Kluyveromyces lactis: one gene and its partners. The main gene of each other region encodes a partner of the protein of the gene in region 2 in a complex. Links are inferred from orthologs where the notes say so. Each region holds a gene or a part of one and is shown on either strand. Other genes may lie near its edges.

Region 1 (2,887 bases), on a different chromosome or scaffold from region 2:
GATGCTAAAGGAAAAGAAGGTAATATACGGAGACTCGAAATCGTATCGTAATATGTGTCGTTTCAATAGTGGGTTCTTTTTCAGACAAAAGCTTTTGGACCAATATGATTACTATTTTAGAGTCGAACCTGATGTGGAATACTTCTGCGATTTCCCATATGATCCATTCAAAGTCATGCGGGAGAAGAAGAAGAAATACGGATTTGTGATATCTATCTTTGAATATGAGGATACGGTAACGACATTATGGGATGCTGTTGAGGAATTCATGGATACTTATCCAGAAATTCTACATCCTAACAACAGTCTAAGCTTTTTGACGGATACCACGATGGTGGGACGTTTTTTCCCTGTTGTTGATTCGAATACAGACTATAATCTATGTCATTTCTGGTCCAATTTCGAAATTGGAGATCTAAATTTCTTTAGAAGTGACGAGTATCTTCAGTATTTCAATTACTTGGACTCCAAGGGTGGGTTTTATTATGAACGTTGGGGTGATGCACCCGTGCACAGTATAGGTGCCTCATTACTTCTAGACAAGAATGAAATCCACCACTTTGATGAAATTGGATACAGCCATGTTCCATTTGAAACATGTCCCACGTCCATATCAGCACGATTAGTGCTCCGTTGTATGTGTGATCCTAACGGCGAATCTAATATTCCCATCCACCCAAACAGTTGCTTGATGAGATGGTGGAAAAACGGTGCCGGCAAACTATTTATTAGATGATGGAGCAGAGGTGAAACCGGGGATATATATAAGATATAGTACATAGGTTTTAGTATAAAGTTTCCAAATTCGATAATTCCTTTAGGATTCTTTCTAGATCTTCGTCAGATATCTTGGTTCCTAAACTTGGAATTAGAGTCTTGGCTTCATCTGCATCTTCGCACGATAGAGAACCCAATTGCGCCACTTCGAATGGATGCAACCCTGTGGATGATAAAAGCTGTGATACAGCGGTTACTGTTTCCTGATCACGGAAACGTGAAAAATTCGTTAGGTATATCATGGTCTGCTTCAACGCTTGATTCTGTCCACCAGTGGTCTGTTCAAGCAATCTATCTATATCCTGTAACTCTTTCTCCTGTGTTTGGGTATGCACATTGACGTTATCTTCATCATCCATGTCATCGTCCTTATTTGATGCACCATTGCTTGCCCATGTCTTGAATAATTTCCGACGGTTCTGTAGCGTTTCCTTTATAATCAAACGAGACTCACTCAAATTTAAAGCCACTAGGTTTTCCTCCTGCCCCTGATGGTTGATTTGCTTCAAATTAAACTCTTCTCCCAAGTGTAAAGTGGCAGCATTCTCTTCTTCAACAAACTTCTTCAACCCACGTCTCTTGGTTTGAACAGTGGATGTAGATGTATTCATGGTAAATTCGAGCTGTTATCTATAAGAGCGGTCCAAAAAAGTAGACGAGTGTAATCACAAAAAGTGCTATTCCAGTAATCAGCCACTTTGACAACGGTACAACTTAGATAAATGTAACTCCAGTTGATGTTTCGAGTGACAAAGTTAGTTTACCTCTCGTTTTAATCGTAATTGAATTTCCATTTTTTTTCCTAACGGTAATTATGCGAAAACTCAACATCAGAATATTGGCCCTATGACTTCATGACATGAATGTTCTCTGTATTTAAGGTATTAAAGTGAATCTTGGCAAAGCTGTTTGTTTGTACAGGACACCAGGGCTTATTTTTAGGGCAGCGCTGTATGTACTTGGTACTCATCGTGATTAGGTATAGCCAGATTCGAATTTAGCTGTTTTTTAATATAGGAAGGCGTACATTCTTTAGCTGGTTTTGTTTCTGTTACTGTTTTGCTATAAGTTCTTTAAGCGAAACTCAGGGTTATTCAGTCGATATAACGTTTAAAAGGTATTTCCGTTGAAACTTTGAGTTGTGAATTGGTCATTTCTTTGTTGGAAGAGAGGCTTTTCTAATATTTTGCTGCAATAACGTGGTTAGACGTTGACTATAATCTGATATATAATAAATGGGGGATAAGAATAGCCTTTGGAACCCTGCGTTCATGGCTTCTCAGCAGGGAGCGTCGAGTTCGAATCAGAACCAGAACTTTTCTCAGACGCAGGCAAATACCCAGAATCAGGGCCCAGAGATTGCGCCTGATGGGCCAGCTGGGAGTAGCTCCAATGCAGGCGGGAATATATATGCAGGGCAGCAACAAGGCGGAAATGCGGCTGGTGGTTTCCAAATGCAGTCGCCACGTCAATCGATATTCAAAAACCCATGGCAAGAGATTCCCCAGATACCTGAGTCTCAGAGGTCTACTATGAGGAAGCAATCCAACTTCCCCTTGCCCACTACTTACGAAGAAGATAACGCTGTAGATGAATCCTCACAACAGTTCAGAAGGAGAAACTCATCTTTAGTAATACCACCTGCGCGTGCGGCAGGGCCTGATCCGTTCCTTTATGAGAAGCAACCGTTTCCCAACTATAATGATGCACAAAGAAGGCAGTCGGTTGCTGTCACTGGTGGCAGTCAACTTTCGCCACAGCAGGTAACGAAACCATCTCAGCTTAGGAAACCTGGAATTAATACTGCGGGATATATGGCTGGCTCCATAAATTCTTCTGTGTATCCCGCTACTGCAGGTGCATACATGAGCACGCGTGGCGGCTCAAGTTCACTTCCGTCGTCAAGGCCACCTTCTCCAATAATTATTGTCCCTAAATTCAACAAGATATTTACGAGACAGGACTTGAATCCCGTTATACATTCCACACCGAAATATAGACGTGCTTCATTAAGCAGCAAGACGGTCTCGCCGTTGATGGCTCTAACTAAGTCGTTAACTACCACTTATTCATTGTGTAATGACGATTTTGCATATCAGACATCAAAGAA
Region 2 (2,760 bases):
CAGCAACACAAGGTTTCCCACAAATAGGACATGGTAATTTCGGATGGCATTGTTTAATATGTTGTTGTAAAGAAGACCAAGTGGAAAATACGTCGGTACATGAAAGAAAGTCACATTGGTACATTCCGGTAGATTCTGGGTTGTGATGCTTATCTATGTGATTCTTCAATCGATAAGGCCTTTGGAACGTCTTGTTACAGTGAGGGCAGGTAAGTTTCTTTTCGTGAACGGACAAGATATGCGATCGGAGTTGTGGATGTTTGTAGAATGATTCGTTACATCCCTCATATGAACAGTGGAAGGACTTCGTATGTGTAATTTCATGTCTCTTTAACTGTTGTCTGGTTGTGACACCTTTCCCACATATAGAACATGTGAAAGGTTTATCATCTGTATGAGAGAACATGTGTCTATTCAGATGCGATTTTTTCGCAAATTCTTTGCCACAAGTGTCGCATTTAAACGGTTTGATTCCATGATGCACGGTGAGCTGATGCTCCGTGAGCAAACTCGGTCTTGTGAACGATTTGTTACACCCTTGATAATCGCAGAAATATACTTTAGAACGCTGTGACGATGAAACTGACACAGTGCTAGTCACACTGGCCATACTCATAACACTATCCATGGACTCTGATCTGGTTAGCGGCGGTGTAGGTACACAACATTGTTGATCATCATCGTTTTCACCAACAACATTCTGCCGTACCTCATTTTCCTTATTGTATGTCGGCGCGACCATCACAGATTCATCAGTAGCTACTACAACGTTGCCTAAATAGTCCATAACTCGGTTGGGTATTCCGTGTATCGGCGTGAATCTCCTTACCCAATCGCACCTCATCGCCTGGGTTTTTTCTATGAATTTCATTTGAATCTTATTTTGTATTTTCAATTAGGGACGTAAAACTGTAATAATCATACAGAATAGACAGGGAAAAGAAGCAGCTACCACCTCCTTCTGAGAACTTCAGTAACTGTGTACTACTAGCGATTCTCAAAGGTAATGCAAGCAAGACAAATAGGATACCATAAATGGGCTGAACCAGTAACATATTCATACAGTTCACCACCTCATCTCGAAAAGTGTTGATAATCGTTTCTTTTACTGTCACAATCGATTTTTGAAAAATTTGGAAAAATTGGAAAAAGCTTCAAATGAAAATGAGCTAGCGAGTAACACAGTAACACGATGTGGACGATAAATTGTCTTATCCAGGTCTTTATTGTTGATCAGCGGCATCAAGGATTAGCATCTTGATAGATAAAGATGTCAGACAACGAGGGAGCGTATGTTATAGCGATTTAATAGGTGTTTTTCCCTATTATTTCTTCGTAGAAGTTGTCTTCATGAATAGTTTTACTAACTAGATGAGTATGCGTTGCTGAATGTCAATTCAAGCACAAACTATCTAATACAGATTTAATGACGGTCCAGAGAACTATGAAGATTTTGACCAAGAGCATTTCTCAGATTACGACGGATTTGATGAGGGCGAGGGTAAGTTTGGCGATGAGAACGGATTAGGCACAGATGAAAACGGGAACACGATAGTTGCTGGAGGATTTGGTCCAGAAGAGTTCCAGCAACAGGAGGCTCGTCGGAGAAGAACTTTGAAGGAGAAGGCTATCGCCAAGGAAGATAGAACTACAACACCATACATGACAAAGTACGAAAGAGCCAGAATTTTAGGTACCAGAGCCTTGCAAATATCTATGAACGCACCAGTGTTCGTTGACTTGGAAGGTGAAACCGACCCATTGAGAATCGCTATGAAAGAATTAGCAGAGAAGAAGATACCATTGGTCATCAGAAGATATCTTCCTGATGGATCGTTCGAAGATTGGTCGGTTGAAGAACTTATCGTGGACTTGTAGAGAGCATACCATAGGCATCTTTAAAATAGAAAACCCCAGAAATATTAATAGTAATATATGTGTATATTATATATGAAAAGACACTGTAAATTTAGATATATCCACTGCGAATCATTCACTGATAGATTGAACGAACTTTTCTCCCTTAAATACTCTTCGGCCAGATACTTGTTTCGCAGAAAAGTGTGCCAATACACGATCCAGTTTCGCAGGGTCTTCCAATCCGACGTCCTTTAGACATTGTTCAAGCTCAGCAGAGTCACACAAGAGCTCTTCATTATCTGAGAATGCCTTAAGTGCTTCTCTGATCTCGGTTGGGTCTGGCATTTCACCCATACATTCGCTCATTAACGACAGATACGCTGGAAATGTTAAAGTTTCGTCAGGAGCTAAGCTTAACATTTGTTCCACATCTTCTTTATTATCTGGTTTACCCAATCCTCTCAACATCTTTGCAAGATTTGATTCTGATATCATTCCATCTCCATCGTCATCTATTAGTTGGAATGCTTCCTGCATTTTCTTGATCTGCTCTTGTGTAAACTGGGAAAAAGTGACCGAACTACTCTTATTCATCGCGAAGCTAGTAAACTTGTTCTCACTATTCCAATGTATATAAAGATCCAACACTGACCTTTATTTGCTAAAGTACCCGTTGTCTCTGTAACGAGATGCTATTCTGTGTTTTTTGGTTCAGATGCATATGTCTAAAACGTAAATAGTGAATAATCTTTCTAACTTTTCTAGATTTCGAACAAAAAACTAAGCAGAGCCAATCTACAGAATTCAATTGACTACATGATATTAGTAAAAGTCAAGAGAAAAGATACCTAAGCTACTGCATACCATCGTGAAACTGACCCATTTATAACATCAATATCC
Region 3 (2,942 bases), on a different chromosome or scaffold from region 2:
GATTGGGAAAATTGTCAACAGCATTTGATTGAAAACGGGCATTTATTTGTCAGTAGAGCTAAACAATCAAGAGATAGAATTGCTGAGATTGGGATTGATTTCATATCCGATGATGATATCATATTAGTGCATGGATTTTCCAGAGCTGTTTTCTCTTTACTAAGTCATGCAGCAGAGAAGTTAATCAGATTTAGATGTATCGTCACTGAATCCAGACCGTCTGGCCAAGGGTTGCAACTGTATCATTTACTTAAAAAGAAGGGTATCCCAGTGACAATGATTGTAGATAATGCTGTTGGTACGATCATCCATAAGGTAAACAAGATCTTTGTGGGAGCCGAAGGTGTTGCTGAATCTGGAGGTATTATCAATCTAGTAGGAACGTATTCTATCGGTGTCTTGGCGAAGAATGCAAGGAAACCATTCTATGTGGTTAGTGAGTCGCATAAGTTCGTACGTATGTTCCCTCTTTCGTCAGATGATATTCCAATGGAAAGAGATCCATTAGATTTTAGCAAAAACGGTATAGAAGACGATGAAGAACCATTGAGTGGGCCTTCTGTCGACTTTACAAGTCAAGAATACATCACAGCTTTGATCACTGATCTTGGAGGGTTGACACCTAGTGCTGTTTCTGAGGAGTTGATTAAGATGTGGTATGATTAAGGAGAATTTGATCCCTTCTCGGTTTAATATATATTTATACTTACTAAATACGATAATTAATTAAAATAGTTTTGATAGATACACAGCGTCGTTGTCCATTGGTTTTAATGGTACAGTACTTTTTTCACTTGTAACTTCTTCTACAAACGATTCGAAAGTATCGTCCTTCCATTCCAAAGGTTTGAATTCCTCTTCGTCTGCTACCTTATGAGCTAGCAATGCACCTCCTAGTCTATTTTGATTCGCTTCGCTGCTACTCTTCACTGACATTGTTATTACCTGGTTTTTCTTGGCAGTTGGATTCGCAGGTTTCGCCTTGGCATCCTCGTCCTTCTTAACCTGTTGATGCGAATCGATGTAACGGAAGTATGGTCTCATTTGGGCAACTTTCTCTACTGGTATTAAATATAGCTGTCCTTGTTTCATAACGCCTGCGTATTGCAACATGTCGTTGCTTACAGCCACACCTTTCAAAGTTTGAACGTCGACATTGTTCCAAGACTCAGCAGCTTTTTCTTTGTCGAAGAAGACCTGTGTATTCAATGGGATATCTATCTCCCAAACGCTTGATTCATCCTTATAGCGTACACCAGCAATTGGAGGATGTTCATCCATATTCTTCGCCAGTCTTTTAGGTTTGTTAGGAAACTGTAACACATGCAATGGACAAGGTCCAACCGTTAAATTAATGGGTATTTCATTCACTACTGGATCGTCTTCTTTAAGAATCTCTGATGATTGGAGCTTCTTATCGAGTTTACCGTTCCCATTCATCTCAGTATCACCGTCCTCATCGGTAACAAACAAACCATTAGACATTTTGAGACCACTGACACCCTCTTACAGATACCTGGATAGAAACAGGACAATAGTTGGTTGTACAAGTGGTTCAACACTCATTAGTTGTACTAATGAGTGAGCCTTCTCATCCGAAATGTCAAAATTTCAATCGATGCGATGAGCCGTGTCTTGTGATCATTGAAACAAGAAGAGAGAAGCGTCTGTAAAAGGATGGTTTATCACCTTCCAACTGGTTCCATACCGGCTGGGCGAGTATTTCATCACCACCTTATTAATATTTGTCATAAGCGACTTTTGTCTCTGTCCATCTGCCTTTCTACGTGTATATAATATGCTTTAACATTAAACTTCAGACAAGGTTTGTAGAATTGAATCAGTAATGAAACCAAAGAGATATCAATTTCAGCACATAACATGACCTGTACATAGCACGAACCACTACAGTGTCAAATGTCCAGTTCAAACGATCCTGATAGTCGCCAATCTAACTGTATTTTATCCAATTCTGTGAGTATTTACCTTTGTATTGCTTTTTCTTGACATCAAGCATAGAAAATTTTAATATGGAAGTAGGACTTAACTGTGCGATGAGCTGACATTAGATGAAGTGAAAGTCTCTGTACGTCGCTCAGCAGCCCATATCAACGATCATCAAGTAGGTAAAGATGAGTTTCAATGATGACGATGATGGAATGCTGTTAAATTTTACAACTGACGTTAGTGATGCTAGTGAAACAGTCAGTAGAGGTAAAATTACCGGTGGTAAATGGAAGGACAGGAGAAAGGCCAAAATGATGATGGAAGGTCGTAAACCGAGGGTCAGGGGTGAAAAGAGACCATTAGAATCTGATGGAGCACCAACTTTTGAAGAATTGGAAGCCTCCTCTTCGAATTCAACTTCGGCACAGGCACCTGTAGAACCTAAGAGATCAAGATTTGATAACAGTTCTAATGTAGAACAACCAGCTAGGGTAACGCAACCATTACAGCTAAACTCGCAAATCGTTTCCTCTTTGTTCACGTCCAGTAGAAATATTGACACAGTTACCAATAGTAATGCTCATGATGAAAAAGCCGAAGTGACTTATTCCAATGCACCATTGGTTGGTGACACCTTCGATTCGTTCGGTATCACTGACACGATGGTTTCACACTTAAACGTCAAGATGAAGATTTCTAAGCCAACTAAGATTCAGAAGTTGGTTATCCCACCATTCTTACAAGCACAAAACGACTTGTTTATTCATGCACAAACTGGTTCTGGTAAGACATTGGCGTTTTTATTACCAATTTTCCAAAGCATACTATCGTTGGGTCAAAATATCACAAGACAATCTGGATGTTTTGCACTTGTAGTTACACCAACAAGAGAATTGGCCAACCAAATTTATCAAGTGACTTCTGAGCTTGCTCAATGTTGTCATTTCCTTGTGCCATGTCTCCTTATTGGTGGTGAAAGAAAGAAATCGGAAAAG
Region 4 (3,163 bases), on a different chromosome or scaffold from region 2:
CTACCCATCGCCGTTTAACCATGGAACAGGCATAATAGAGGGGGAATTGAGAAGGCACTGGGTTCACCCAGTATATTGGAGAACGAGTGCCCTCGAGTAATTTTAAGGGTAACGCATCGTACCTTTTCTACCAACTGCTAATTCTATTCTTTCAAGTAGGGCTATTCCTCGTAACTGTACTATCCATCTCACCATTCAAAGATCACGAAGTCGCGGACGAAACCTATACACAGAAAGCCCAGAGTGATCTGAGTGACGGATATAATGGTAACGTCTTGATACTCGAAGTGGATCCAAAAGCCATGATCGAAAATCTTATAACCAAAGCACGGCCAATGGCGCAGGATCAGGAGACGTTTGAACCGACAAATGTAGATGCGATGGTGTAACACAGTTGAATCTAAAAACAAATGTACATTAAACTAGTTTAGATGTAGTGGCTTCTTTATATATGAATATATATAAGTGCCTAATCTGTTCACTGAGTGGCTTAATGCGTATGATACAGGGAATGAAAGAAATGGAATTATGATGCACGGTTTGTCTGTGTATGGAAGGGAGTGGATGATATTAAATAGAGAACATGCGAATTGGCTTCTTATTGTGAGATTGGACAGTTCTTCAAGTATTCCGCCTTGTTCTTCAAGATCCTGACCGATTTGAAGAAGATTTCTTCCGGTGTCATAGCACCAGAACTCTCCACGTTAAAGATGAAGTGGTCTCTCACCCTACCCAACTTAACCTTCCCCTGGAACTCATCGTGTCTCAACACCTCTCTGGACACGGTATCCTTCCTTGGATCCTTGATATAAGCTTCACCCTTCTCGTTGACATCTGCGACACCTTTAGGGAAACATTTCACAAATTTCTTGGCATCATCACCGGTGATAGGCTGTGTGATCTGGATGTGTGGTAATAGTCTATAACTAGCTGTCGACACCGGAGAGAACTTGGCATGGTCTGCACCGATACCTAGAATACAATGTGCCCTTAACGAAATCTCTTGACCTGGTCTCAACTTGGCCAACAAGATATCTGGATCCGCTGCCACCACGGGACACTTGGCAAATTGTTCCACCTGTTTCCCCTGAGGCTCAAACTTAAGGTCCCTAGCATAGATATGCGCGTTTCTATAAAGAACCTTGGGGTCTTCACAATCCTTTGGAGCATCTGGGTTCCTGGTACATTTCACGTTCAACGACATCACTATCGTATTTTCATCTGTAAACCTTTCAGATTCGGGCAATGACGTGTCCACCCAACTCAACATATCTGGATCCACCTTCAATGGCACTAACCCGATTCTATGCGCCAACACTTCGTCCTGTAGCACAGACGTATTGTTAAAAAAGTAGACGTATTCTGGAGCGACAGATGGTACTTCTGAGATCATAATACGACGGAAAGCGTTAGCAATCGATGTGTCGACATGAACCAAATCGAAATTCACTTCACGCTCATCCAAACTCTCGATTTGTACGTCAAAAGTTTCCTTGAACTTCTCCAAGTCCCATGAATTGTCTTGATCCGAACTAAATCCAGGGAAATCTGTTGAACTTGTGTTCGTCACACGGTTATATTCAACACCAACGATATTGGACATCCTTTTTCAATTGTATTGCTACGTTTATGCTACCTCTTGAGCTCTCAAACGACCTCAGAAAAGCCCTATGACACTGGTCAAGGTCCGTCTCATCGGTGTAGATACCTCATCTCAAGCTCATCTCATCGCTTTAAAGAACTGAAAAATTTTTGGAAAAGAAAAGATCACATCGTATAGAGTGATTATATATGATTAAAGATTGGTAGAAATGCGATGAGATAGCTACTCGAGAGCAGGTACTAGTCGATTACTGCTCTTTTGACCATCCTCAGTTAGTTCAGTATGTGGTATTTTACAGTTGGATTGTAACTGGATAACCATATTCCCCTGTCTTACTCTTTCACAAGGTGATAATGGACCTTTTAGATGACGAAGATTATGGAAGTGTCAGCGATGAGGAAAGCTTGGATGATGGGTTAAGTGGTGTAACCAGTGGTATAACCAGTGGTATAGCCACAGAATCGGATATTTTACCCTCTCCTAGTGTTAGCAACCTAATATCTGACTTTCACGCGCAATTCTGGCACCAAGGCGCGGATTTAGATGACCTCATCCAACTTGCCAAGCACGAAACTATAATACGAGATGCAACAAACCATACGACAGAGCCTTACAATGTCATAAAACTGGGCCAATTGATGCCTTTATTCGATACAGAGCTTTCCATGGTGTTTCAATGCATTGTAGATACCTACAAGGCCAAGTTCCCTGGGTTGGAAACTATTGTCCCTGAAAGGAAACAATACGTCGACGTGGTCAAGATGCTGCAACAGGATATTCCCAACGTGCAATTAGACCAAGTGCTATCGAAGGAGGAAACCCTTGTGGTATCTATGTCTCTAAAGACAGATTTCAAAGAGGGTGCTCGAATTGATAAGGATCTCCTCTCCAAGGCCATCCATTGGTTCGATATTCTGTACAACTTACGGGACAACGTCTCACACTATGTTGAGACAAGAATACAAATGGTAGCTCCAAACTTATGTGCTTTATTGGGACCTGATACTGCAGCTAAACTGGTAACACATTGTGGTAGTGTTAAAGAACTAAGTGTGGTTCCCAGTTGTAATTTGGCATCCATTGGCCAGGACAAAACGTTGCATGGCAAATCGTTAGATATCTCTGGGGTACGACAAAAGGGATATCTATTCTATACAGACGTGGTACAAACACAGCCTCCTGAGTTCCAGAAACAGGCGCTTAGAATGGTCTCTGCCAAGGTTGCTCTTGCTGCGAGAGCGGATTGCACCATGGGGAATCAAGTCATTAACCCAGATGGGAATTCAGATGGGAACTCAGATGCCTCGAAGCTGGGCTTGAAATGGAGGCATGAAATCGTTGAAAAACTCAAGAAGATAATAGATCCGCCGAATATCAGTAACATCAAGCCGTTGCCGATCCCAGAAGACGCTCCAAAGAAGAAAAGAGCTGGTAGAAGGTTCCGTAAGTACAAAGAACAGTTCAAGATGTCGCATCTAAGGCAAATGCAAAACAGAATGGAGTTCGGTAAAGAGGAACAGACCACCATGGACCCATACGGAGAAGAAATAGGGTTCGGGA
Region 5 (4,725 bases), on a different chromosome or scaffold from region 2:
TCTTGCGTGCATTTTGTCAAGAACCATATGCTTCAACTTTTGATAGTAGATTGGACCAAAGAAAATGTAAGCTTGTAAACATTCACCAGTAATACCAGAATAAAGCATGTCCTTACCGGAATAGTTGAAACCATTATCGACTAAAATCTTTGACATGTCTTCTAACTTAGATCCACCGAAACAGGTACCGTATTCAAGGGTACCATTCAAGACACCAGCTTTACCTGATATCAACTCAATCATTTTTCCAACGGTCATACGAGATGGGAAACCATGTGGGTTCATGATAATATCTGGTACTACACCTTGATCGTTGAAAGGAAGATCTTCTTGTTTTACGATGATACCACAGACACCCTTTTGACCATGTCTCGATGAGAATTTATCACCCAATTCAGGTCTTCTGTTTTGTCTCAATAGAACTTTGATCAAAGCCTGGTCATTATCAGAAACTGACATCATAACTTGATCAATATGAGAAGGTTCTGGAGCTCTATATACCACTGGAGTCTCCTTGTACTGAGCTTGTGTTTGAGTTAGAATGCTATCCGACGCATTAGTTGGAACAGATTTATTGACATAAATTTGTCCACTTTCAACCTTCATTCCAACTTCACCTAGCCCATCAGGGCCTAATGCTTGGTGTTGCCATATAGGCTCACCATTTTCATCAACTCTCATACCACCAATAATATCCTGAGTATGATTTGGATATCTCTTCAACACGGTGGTGTTCTTACGACGAGTTTCACAACGTCCAAAACCTCTGTCAATGGACGCTTTATTTAAAACTAACGCATCCTCGATATCATAACCGGAGTAGGACATAACTGCCACCGTAGCATTTTGACCTGCCGGAAGTTTATCGTAATCGATCAATTCAATCGTTTTGGTTTTCACCATAGGCTGTTGAGGGTATATCATTAGATACAATAAGGTGTCAATTCTTTTGAATTGATTGTATGCAATTGCACCAATAGCCTGCTTACCCATCGCACATTGATAAGTGTTACGTGGAGACTGATTATGGTGAGGATATGGAATCAAACCAGCAACTGCACCTAAGACAGTAAATGATTCAATTTCTAGATGCGTAATATTCTCAGATAGATCTTTTTCATATAATGCAATGAACGAGTCGTTTTCTTCATTAACGTCGAGATACTCGACTAAACCCAGTTTTAAGAAATCATCGAATTGTAATTTTCCAGCCAGAAGAGATCTTAAATGGTCTGCAGTAACAGAAGACTGCCCGTTCGAAACAATTATCAACGGCCTACAGATTCTTCCTCCATCAGTAGCAATATGAACTGCTTTTTGATGTGTATTGGTATATATAGAGATGAACTCTGACGCTCTACCAGTTCTTCTTAAACATCTGAATTGAGACACAAACTTTGTAGGAAATCTAGTTGTCCCTATGATTGTACCGTTTAAGTAGACACCATAATTTAAATGAATTGAAGCACTGTCAATTAAACTTATGTCTTCCACACCCAACAAGTAACAAATCCTCTTTATAGGCTCTTCTTCATCATCGGTGGTGATATGGGTCATTAATGCCAAATTTTTAACCAAACCACAGGCCTCACCTTCTGGAGTATCTGAGGTACATAACATACCAAATTGAGAAGGTTGTAGGGCTCTAGGACCTGAAACTTTTCTAGATTTCTCAAATTGAGAGGATATTCTTGTCATCATACCTAATGCTGAAATATAAGAAAGTCTGGATAAGACATGTGTAACACCTGCTCTTTCCATCTTGAAACGTTTCAAAGACCAGTTACCAGTTGAAATTGCACGATTCATACCTGTAGTAATGTTGTTGGAATGTACGTTAATGGTTAGTAAGGCATCATACATTTCAGCACGATTTGGTTTCTTTAAGACTTTATCGATGTTTGCCTTGAAATCATTATTGAACTTTTTGAATAAATCTTCAAATAACAATGACATCAATTGACCAGCCAATTCTAAACGCTTGTTACCAACATAATCTCTGTCATCAACCATCTTTGGGTTATCTATAGCCATTACGACTCTACGAGTCATCATTGCAATGTATAATGCTTTTTCTCTAAAGTCTAAAGCTTCCACTGTCAGATGAGCAATGACTGTCGTAGCGATGGCCTCGATACCTTCTTGCAAGATGGAAAGTTTCTGTCTTCTGACAGTTTTAACTTTAGTACCAATGAATTCTAAGGCTTGTTGTTGCGTGTATATTTTTAGTTCGGCAGCTTCTTCGAGATTCACCGCGAAGATATCTTGATAACTGCTATCATTACCACAAACTAACTGCATGATTTCTAAATCAGATACAACACCACAAGCCTTCAAAACAACTACAATTGGAACCTCTTCTGCGATAGAGTTATGTTTTAAGTATATTTTATCATTCTTGGTGACTACGTAAGTCTTAGATTTTCTTTCGTGGGTGGAAGATGTAACAGAAGCTTGTACGATGTTTTTCTTCTCATCTGCTTCCACAATGATACGATTCTTAGATAATTGTTCTTGAACTAAGATGACTTTTTCAGTACCATTAACAATGAAATATCCACCTGGATCTAAGGGACATTCATTTAATTTGGCCATATCATTTTCTGCTGCACCATCTAATATACATTTGTTTGATCTCAACATTATGGGCATTCTACCGATCTCCACATCTCTATGCAACACAATTGATCTTCCTCTGGTGTATTCAATATCAACAAAGATAGGAGTACTGTATGTCATGTCTCGTAATCTACATTCATGTGGTGGGGTCATAATAGCTTTGTTGCCGTTATGTTTGTATCCTACTCTAATGTCAATGTACTTCAAGTAAAACTCTGGATCGACATCAGATAATATAACCTCATTAGCTTTGATGATCTTCTTCAAATCAACATCCACAAAGTAATTAAAAGAGTCCAAATGCTGCTTTACTAACCCTTTCACCTTTAAAAAGGCAGGCAAAAGATTCCATTTATCTTCGGCAGTGTTGATCTCGTCAGTCAGCTTTTTACCTTTGAAGACGGGTTTCAAAAGAGCATCGAACGCTTCATCTTTTTCATAGCCATCAGGATTATGGGAGTCAGTGTGGTTCATTTTAGAGAATATTCAATCAGGATATTTGAAAGCTACCCTTTCCAAACTTAATTAGTGTTCCAAACAGTTAATCAAACAAAATATCTAGAAAAGAGGCAAAAAGACCAAACAAAGCTACTCTACTGAAAGTGAAAAAAGAAGGAGCCAACCAGTAAATTTCACTTAATCAAATCTTTGTTGAGGTCAGCAAATCAGTACAGTCACTAACTGCCAATAAATGCACTTCTCTTTGTTTCCATCAATATTGACAGAGCTCATCTACATTAATCATTGGCGTATTTCGATTATTTCAAATTCGAGATGAGCTTGATTTGATCTTTTTCATTTTCCAAAATTGATCTGACAGAGTGAAAAGAAATTTCTTCTGTCATCAACAAATTTTCAGTCACGTGCAAGATACATTTCTTCGTGTTACATGATATATATACACGTGACATATATTTTACTTTCAATATGCGAATGTCTGGATTTGACATGGTATCAACCTTAAGTACTATTGATTCAGATGAGCTTTTCCAAATCGGATATCATGGATGCATTGCATCGTTCGAATGCAGCAAATCGTATTAGGCTGAAATAACATTATCGATTGACGTGACCAAATTGTTGATCTCCTCACTTGGTTCTAATCTCTTGCTATTTCAAGAGGCCTTGAGCTGCATATTTTCAATACTATGAGTCTGAATCTTTTCAAGACCACCGTTAATGACTACCTAGAAGGTCTTCCAGAGCAAGTCCAATCAAGATTATATGAGTCTCCAGCGACATGTTTGGCAATTTATAGATTGCTTTCTCCCATGGCAAAATTCTTCATTATGTCGATGCTGTTTCAGGACCACGATGTCTCGCTTAGAGATTTAGATAAATGGGTCAAGCCAGATGCGAAATACCAGTTACAATACTCTATTAAATCGATGAAATCCTTGAATCTTATAATAGAAGGTGAGAGTAAACAACCTCTATTGATTCGTTTGAATCCAATTTTCAAGAAATCTTTCAAAAATGTATTAACTGGTGGTGAAATCAATAACTCTTTTGGTGATGTTGCGGATGATGATACCAATCCCGTATCTACAGCTACTTTGGACCAGTATAGTGCAGAAAAGTGGGAAACAATCTTGCATTACATGGTGGGAACACCGAATACAAACACTCCTGGTGGAAAGGTTCTAGACTTATTGCAGCATAGTGGTCTAATGGAAGAGGCAGAATATGGCGAACTCAAAATTACTAACCAAGGTTTCCAATTTCTCTTGCAAGATGTCAATGCACAGATGTGGACTCTTCTTCTTCAATATTTGAAGATGGCAGAAAGTTTACAGATGGATCCCGTGGATGTTCTAAATTTCATTTTCATGCTAGGTGCATTACAGCTAGGGAAGGCGTATAAGTGCGATCAACTAAGTAATACGCAGAGAACAATGTTACAGGATATGAGAGATTACGGATTAATCTATCAAAATCAATCGGATTATGCAAAGTTTTATCCTACCAGATTAGCCACGTTGTTGACGTCCGACACAAAAGCATTCAGAAGTGCCTCAGTCGCTCTAGACAGCGTGTTAAATAAAGCTAATGAAACAACAGCTGTAGAAGGAGACAGTGGACAAGATGAAACTACAGAGCGAACTC
Region 6 (3,523 bases), on a different chromosome or scaffold from region 2:
TCATCGGGCTCTGATTCCGATTGTATTGTTGCCATCCCATCAGATGCTGTATCAAATCTTATGGATTGTGGCTGTTGTATTAGCGGCTCCTCATCATTGCTGTCCTCGTTAGATGAAGATGGTTCCTGATCGGATTCTATTAGCCTCACATTACCTTCATCCTCGGCATAGTTACTAAAATCCTGTTCCGTAGGCATAGTAATATGGCTCATCTCAGCGGCATCCAAAGAGTTTTCTACAGCAGATGAGTGCACACCAAACACTCTTGATAGAAATGTGTTCTTGGATCCACCATTTACTTTATCCTGACTATCCGTCATAACTCAGACTTCCAAAATTTTATTGATCCAAACTTTTCAAGTTGATTCAATCAACTGACTAAATACCGTGAGAGGTAAGGTTATGGTTGTAGTGTCCTTTCGATTATACCTTGTTTTGTGTTTGTTGAAGTCATTTTTAAGGGAATCCTTGTATACATGAACAAGTTTTGTAATGGAGCCCTGCATATCCAAACATCAACTCGTACTTAATGACTATTCTGATTTCAGGAATTATAACCTGAAAAGGCGATGCATCTTTATTAGGTTACTATGCAGTAGCTGCTGATTGTGTTCGCAGTGGTATTTGAATCTCCCATTCTTGATGTAGTTGTCTACATTAAATTAATGTTATCATACGAATTGATTTGCTGAGCTTTTTCTTCAACTATCATGTACATGCAGAAATCTATATAATTAGATATGTGGTGTTACAATCGCTCTTCCGTCGATTTGGCCTAGTAGCTCCGCTTCTTCTCCCTCCAAATCTAGTGTAACCACGTCTTGCAAAAATGTAGACTCTGCGCCCCTGCTGATATCCATTACGACGTCCCCGATCTTGATTGACATTTTGCCGGATCGATGCATTCTAATTGAACCAACGTTTCCGATCAAAGGCTCAGGTGAATCTATTTGTGTTTCTTTGCTGTTTTTACTATTTGATTGTTCACTTCCTTCATCTACTTTTGCTTCACCATTTGGCTTTACATCTTCTTCGGTGGATTTCACTGGGGGTTGTGGCTGAAATTCAGGTAGATTTGATGGGAACTGGAAGAACATAAACTTATTTGGAACGTCGTTAATCTTGTTTAACTTTTTGTACATATGTTTATGATCCTCAAATAACAAATTTGTTTCCCTGAGAGCTTCTGCGCTGTCAACAGATTGGAAATCTTGTTGAAGTTGAAGCAAACGCAGTTTTTCTTTTAACTGCTGTTCCTTCTCGTTCACTATGTCATTTAAAGTACCATCCGATTGTTCTGGTTCTAGCTTCACAGGTCCTGGTGTTGGTTCCCTGGTCTGCAAAGTTGACATGGATTCCTGGACAACTTTCTGTAGAGAATCCACCTTTTCGTGATTGATACGAACTGCCCTGACAGGGAAAAGATTGGCCAATTGTTTAGAGGCTCTGGTCTCTTCACTCATGGCTGCATCAGTATTAGAATCCTCATCTTCATCAAACAGATCGTCAGTTTCCTTCTTGAAGTCTGCCTCTGTATACTCTTTCCCCATGTTAATTCTCTTCCCAGCTTTTGAATCTTCTGCGTCCGATCCCTCTGCTTCATCATCAGAAACAGCTTTCAAACCGCGTTGCACAAGACTGCTTTGAGAACCCTCCGTCTTAATGAATCCATTATTCCCTTTATTAGATCCTCCAGAGAAATTACCAGCTGCCAATGGGCCTGATGTGATAATTCTTGTGTTGTTTAAATACTTCGGCTGCCTCTTCTGGTTGCCCTGTGGTTTCTGTGTATATTTCTTCTTCTCAACCTGTTTATTCGGCTCTTCTACCTTCAGAACGTTAGCATCTCGTTCCTCCTTAGATTTACGAGCTACCACTTTGGGCTTAAACTTCAGCGAGGTTCCGGTTGATGGTTTCCCCTGGTTCAATCCAGGTAAACGTCCACTCATCTTTAGTTGATTCCTATCACAATTTGATGCAAATAACTTCTTGACTCAAGCGTTTAATACTGCGATTCTCGACCGTTTCTTCGTTCAACAGCAAATCCTAATATGAAAACGAAGACTAGTTACTGGATACTAACCCTTGCATTGACTATTTGCGCATCAACTTTGCTCATCTCATTGTGATCTCTTCCAGTAGTAGTGCAGCTTTCAATTTTGGTGAAAAATCTTGAAAAAGCAATGTTGGAAAATTTTGTTTAAAGTTAAAGCTCATCTCATCTCATCTCAATTCAGAGAATAGGTATAACTAAGAGAATGACAAGCTGCATAACAGGTAACTACTATCAGCCGCTGTAATCGACTGTATATTGAGTTGGACTTAAATTGTACTGGACATTGTACTTCAAATATGGCAAAGAGAGGTGCAAAGGTCTCAAAAAGAGGGTCTAATCGTAGACAAGACCAGGAAGAAGATGTTGCCTATGGCATGAATGAGGTCGATGACTTTGCAAACAAGAGAGAAAAAGTGCTACTTGAGGACGCAGGTCTTGATCAAAGGGAACCAGAAGATGATTTTGATCTTTCAGTGGATGAAGAAGAAGAAGTGATGGGAATGTCAGATGAAGATAGTGAGGATGAAAGTGAAGAAGTTGAAGATGATGAAAGTGAACAAGAAGAATTAACAGGTGAAGCTGTGTATAAGAAGGTTTTTGGTAGGAAATTAGACGTTGGTGAGAATGCAGAAGAAGAGAGTGGTACTATGCTGGACAATGAGAACGCATGGGGTGCTTCTAAGGCAGAATACTACGGTGCCGATGACTTGGACGATGAAGAGACTGCAAGAGAGATAGAAAAGGAAGCTTTGCGCCAACAGAAGAAACATTTGGAAGACCTTCATATGGAAGACTATCTTGAGGATGAAGTTGATGAAGAATGGGTAAAAGAAGCTAAGGAATTCGATTTAGGTCAATTTAAAGATCAAAAGGATCAAGAACGTCCTACTGAAATCTCCCTTAGGGATGTTCTCAACATGGACTTAGAGAGAAAGGAAGGTTTCTTGAAGACATCCTTCCCAGAATACCTTCCTTTATCAAAGGAATTCAGTAAATTATCACCCGTTTTAGACGAGCTGAAACTCAAACAAACTGAGGAGAATAATGAATTGATTCAGATCAAAATTATGGCATTATCTTCATATCTTGGAACAATTAGTTCATATTTTGCAGTTTTCTTATATGAATTACAGAATAACGAAGATTTCATTTCTATGAAAGATCATCCGGTAATGGAGCGTATTTTGGAGTGTAAAGAAATTTGGAGACAAGCTAGCGAACTACCGGACACAGAAGCAATACGCTTTGAGCAAGACTCTGACGCTGAAGAAAATATTTCGGATATTGGTGAACTTGATGAAGAACTATTACAAGAACAGGATGAACTGGACAGTGAAGCAAGTGCCAGTGACGATGAGGCAGAAGATGAGAATGAGGACGAGGAGGGTGATATGGAAAGCGAAGAAGAAGAAAACTTTGATATCGAACTTTCGAACAGAGCTGCAAACAAAGTTCAGAAAGACAGGA
Region 7 (2,738 bases), on a different chromosome or scaffold from region 2:
ACCGTCCAAGTTATGTATCAAAAGAATCATCTTCACCGTAGGAGGTCTTTTCTTGAAATATTTTGAAAGCCTGTCCATTTGCAAGTCAATTCGATTATCCCAATAATTTGATTGACCTTGATCATCAATAGTCTCGCCCTCTACTAAGATTTTGAATATATCCAAAAAGATGTTCTTAGAGAGAGTGGTGTACCCGTTCATTACAAAAACCGGTATACATGGATCATCTTTTTGAATATCCGGGTTTTGCAACAAGGCGATCTTCATAGAAAGAAAGTTGAATGCAAATGATTCGAGGAATTTCTTCTTCGATCCGATACCATAGAATAATAACGTAAATCCCTGCAGTAACTCGAAAGTAAACTGCTGAAAGAGTGTTTCATGTATTTTTTGTACTGCCTTTGTCGATGAACGATGGAATATATCATTGGAAAGTTGAGAAAGAATGTTATATTCATCTCTGGAAATACTTGGTGCCGAGGACATCGAGTTCTTGGATCTTTTATCAGTTTTTAGGATCTTGGTCTGATCTATGAAACCTTCGAAACCATCGAAAAAATATATTTGAGATTGTTCATCAGATGTTTGGTCATTATTATCGCTCTTTGGCAACTTAGTCGGTTTGAAATTAGGGTTCAAGTTCAATTTCAGATGCTTATACTGCTGGATATCGTCGTATGCAAGATCATCGTCTATAATTTTATTCCTTTGAACTGTATTTCTGGTAGTCTTTCTTTGGGGTGATGGTTCTGCATTAAATGTAAGTTTTCTCCTAGGCGACTTATTAGGTGAGCTTTCATTAGAATCTATTTTAATTTTTAGATCCTCGTATTCGTCGTCATTGTGTATCAATTCATTAGTATCTGACACATAGTCAATGGCATCATCTTCCTCCAACTTCACCCTCTTGGTTGTTTTCCTTTGCCTTCGCCTGGGAGTTGCAGTATCTGTCGATGAGTGCTTCCTACTCTCTTCATCTTTATATTCAGTCTCAATGCTAACAGACTCTAATGTGAGCGATCGTTTGGGTGACTTAGGTCGTACCGTTTTGGAAGGCGAAAGAAAATCAAAACTTTTAAGTTTCTTCGGTGACTGATATCTTACTTTGGAAGGTGATATGAAAATGTCTTGGTGATTTACAATATCAATGTCTTCTTCTTCTTCCTCATTATCACTGCACTCTTTCTTCGTCATGTTTTCAAGGTTTAACCGCTCCAAGATAATCAAATACTCTAAAGTCTAGAGAATGGAAACTAACTTATAAATGTGGGAGTTGTTCTTCTATCAAACCTCGCCCACAGGTATTAACCCTATACACTATATTTGACATACAAACCTTAAATGTCAACATAAATATCGATTCAAAGTTAAAGGCATGAAGCTCTACTTTTTTTTTTCTGAAAAATTTCTATATGAGATGAGGAAAGAATTAAAACCTACTCTCAATAATTATAGCGATGAGGTTCATTTTAGAGTGTATGCGATAACGTGTTGAAGGAGCTTATGGGCAGGTAACGGTGCGTTAACGTATCGTGTTTGAGGAGTCTGACATTGAGAATTAAGTTGTAGGATGCTTTCGTTTTGCCCATTATGCAATAACATGTTGTTGGTATCAAAAGCTGATTCAGGTCTGTATAAACTAGCATGCGGATCATGCCCATACCAGTTTTTAATTGATGGGATAGAGGTATACGATAGAAAGAACCTCCCTAGGAAAGAAGTTGATGATGTCTTAGGTGGAGAAGGTGCATGGGATAATGTTGACCAGACAGCAGCACAATGTCCGAACCATGACCAATGTGCGGGTGAAAGAGCTTACTTCTTCCAGTTGCAAATCAGATCTGCAGATGAACCTATGACAACTTTCTACAAATGTGTTAACTGTGGTCATAAATGGAGAGAGAACTAGAGATTGTGTATTTTTGAAATTTACTTTGATTTCGATACGCATCAAACAAAATATTATAGATCTTCTTAGCAGTTATTACATCGCTTAGAGCAAAAAACTGACAAGAAGATAAATGTTCGGCTTTAATCGCTGCCATTTGTCTCTCGCCCAGCTAAAAACGCATGCTTAATCTTTCAAATGATGAAAGGTAGATCACGCTTTCATTAGGCTCGCAAAAGGAAGTTGTTAGGGTTTGATGAAACTTCTTCTGAATCAAAGTGTAATATAATGTATAAATCTACAAATAGATTGAACAAGACAAAATAAAAGTATTGTCGACGGCCTGACAGAACCATTTCGTGCAACGCTGTATGGTACTAACGACCGACTTGGTTTTTGAAGCGTAAGAAATTAAGATCATTAGAAACTAAGAATTAAATACATGAGACGTTACATAAATAAAGGCATTCAAACCCATTCAACAGGGTTCTTCAATACTTGGAGTAATTTATCTTCTCTAGAGTCTACTTCAGGATGATGGTCATACAACCACGAAGCAGTCACAGGCAAAGACATCAAAATACTTTCGACACGGGATCCTGGAGTTCTTAAACCGAATTGAGTACCTCTGTCAAGGACTAGGTTGAATTCAACGTATCTGCCACGTCTAATTTGTTGCCATTGTCTTTCTTCTTCAGTGTAAGGCATATCCTTTCTTCTTTTGATGATTTCGAGGTAAGATGGCAAGAAGGCATCAAAACAGTTTTCAACCATTTGCAAGATTTCGTTTGGATCACGATCATCGACATCATCAAAGAAAATACCACCGATACCTCTGGTTTCTTCTCTG

The links.
Region 1: RPO26 (region 2) and RPB4 share a complex: the UniProt entries of both Saccharomyces cerevisiae proteins name them as parts of the RNA polymerase II (Pol II) complex. The link is inferred for Kluyveromyces lactis from reciprocal best matches to the Saccharomyces cerevisiae genes RPO26 and RPB4.
Region 3: RPO26 (region 2) and RPC37 share a complex: the UniProt entries of both Saccharomyces cerevisiae proteins name them as parts of the RNA polymerase III (Pol III) complex. The link is inferred for Kluyveromyces lactis from reciprocal best matches to the Saccharomyces cerevisiae genes RPO26 and RPC37.
Region 4: RPO26 (region 2) and RPC40 share a complex: the UniProt entries of both Saccharomyces cerevisiae proteins name them as parts of the RNA polymerase III (Pol III) complex. The link is inferred for Kluyveromyces lactis from reciprocal best matches to the Saccharomyces cerevisiae genes RPO26 and RPC40.
Region 5: RPO26 (region 2) and RET1 share a complex: the UniProt entries of both Saccharomyces cerevisiae proteins name them as parts of the RNA polymerase III (Pol III) complex. The link is inferred for Kluyveromyces lactis from reciprocal best matches to the Saccharomyces cerevisiae genes RPO26 and RET1.
Region 6: RPO26 (region 2) and RPC53 share a complex: the UniProt entries of both Saccharomyces cerevisiae proteins name them as parts of the RNA polymerase III (Pol III) complex. The link is inferred for Kluyveromyces lactis from reciprocal best matches to the Saccharomyces cerevisiae genes RPO26 and RPC53.
Region 7: RPO26 (region 2) and RPC11 share a complex: the UniProt entries of both Saccharomyces cerevisiae proteins name them as parts of the RNA polymerase III (Pol III) complex. The link is inferred for Kluyveromyces lactis from reciprocal best matches to the Saccharomyces cerevisiae genes RPO26 and RPC11.

The regions. Positions count from the first base shown.
Region 1 is NC_006037.1:539,533-542,419, forward strand, and holds RPB4 (DNA-directed RNA polymerase II subunit RPB4), read right to left. Parts: upstream 1,389-2,887; coding exon 786-1,388; downstream 1-785. Other genes in the region: KLLA0_A05775g (glycosyltransferase family 15 protein), read left to right, coding at 1-736; serine/threonine protein kinase YAK1, read left to right, coding at 2,013-2,887. UniProt on the Saccharomyces cerevisiae protein: DNA-dependent RNA polymerase catalyzes the transcription of DNA into RNA using the four ribonucleoside triphosphates as substrates. Component of RNA polymerase II which synthesizes mRNA precursors and many functional non-coding RNAs.
Region 2 is NC_006038.1:314,563-317,322, forward strand, and holds RPO26 (DNA-directed RNA polymerase core subunit RPO26), read left to right. Parts: upstream 1-1,270; coding exon 1,271-1,290; intron 1,291-1,421; coding exon 1,422-1,878; downstream 1,879-2,760. Other genes in the region: PZF1 (Pzf1p), read right to left, coding at 1-871; MLC2 (Mlc2p), read right to left, coding at 1,990-2,454. UniProt on the Saccharomyces cerevisiae protein: DNA-dependent RNA polymerases catalyze the transcription of DNA into RNA using the four ribonucleoside triphosphates as substrates.
Region 3 is NC_006042.1:1,291,419-1,294,360, reverse strand, and holds RPC37 (DNA-directed RNA polymerase III subunit C37), read right to left. Parts: upstream 1,486-2,942; coding exon 727-1,485; downstream 1-726. Other genes in the region: GCN3 (translation initiation factor eIF2B subunit alpha), read left to right, coding at 1-666; DBP7 (putative ATP-dependent RNA helicase), read left to right, coding at 2,133-2,942. UniProt on the Saccharomyces cerevisiae protein: DNA-dependent RNA polymerase catalyzes the transcription of DNA into RNA using the four ribonucleoside triphosphates as substrates. Specific peripheric component of RNA polymerase III which synthesizes small RNAs, such as 5S rRNA and tRNAs.
Region 4 is NC_006040.1:1,252,425-1,255,587, forward strand, and holds RPC40 (DNA-directed RNA polymerase core subunit RPC40), read right to left. Parts: upstream 1,604-3,163; coding exon 599-1,603; downstream 1-598. Other genes in the region: GLD1 (Gld1p), read left to right, coding at 1-100; U4/U6-U5 snRNP complex subunit PRP31, read left to right, coding at 1,957-3,163. UniProt on the Saccharomyces cerevisiae protein: DNA-dependent RNA polymerases catalyze the transcription of DNA into RNA using the four ribonucleoside triphosphates as substrates.
Region 5 is NC_006042.1:96,699-101,423, reverse strand, and holds the start of RET1 (DNA-directed RNA polymerase III core subunit RET1), read right to left. Parts: upstream 3,094-4,725; coding exon 1-3,093. Other genes in the region: TFIIH/NER complex subunit TFB2, read left to right, coding at 3,768-4,725. UniProt on the Saccharomyces cerevisiae protein: DNA-dependent RNA polymerase catalyzes the transcription of DNA into RNA using the four ribonucleoside triphosphates as substrates. Second largest core component of RNA polymerase III which synthesizes small RNAs, such as 5S rRNA and tRNAs.
Region 6 is NC_006039.1:1,432,713-1,436,235, forward strand, and holds RPC53 (DNA-directed RNA polymerase III subunit C53), read right to left. Parts: upstream 1,950-3,523; coding exon 735-1,949; downstream 1-734. Other genes in the region: autophagy protein ATG9, read right to left, coding at 1-320; rRNA-processing protein SAS10, read left to right, coding at 2,353-3,523. UniProt on the Saccharomyces cerevisiae protein: DNA-dependent RNA polymerase catalyzes the transcription of DNA into RNA using the four ribonucleoside triphosphates as substrates. Specific peripheric component of RNA polymerase III which synthesizes small RNAs, such as 5S rRNA and tRNAs.
Region 7 is NC_006042.1:1,707,490-1,710,227, reverse strand, and holds RPC11 (DNA-directed RNA polymerase III core subunit RPC11), read left to right. Parts: upstream 1-1,570; coding exon 1,571-1,909; downstream 1,910-2,738. Other genes in the region: ORC2 (origin recognition complex subunit 2), read right to left, coding at 1-1,194; HEM13 (coproporphyrinogen oxidase), read right to left, coding at 2,357-2,738. UniProt on the Saccharomyces cerevisiae protein: DNA-dependent RNA polymerase catalyzes the transcription of DNA into RNA using the four ribonucleoside triphosphates as substrates. Component of RNA polymerase III which synthesizes small RNAs, such as 5S rRNA and tRNAs.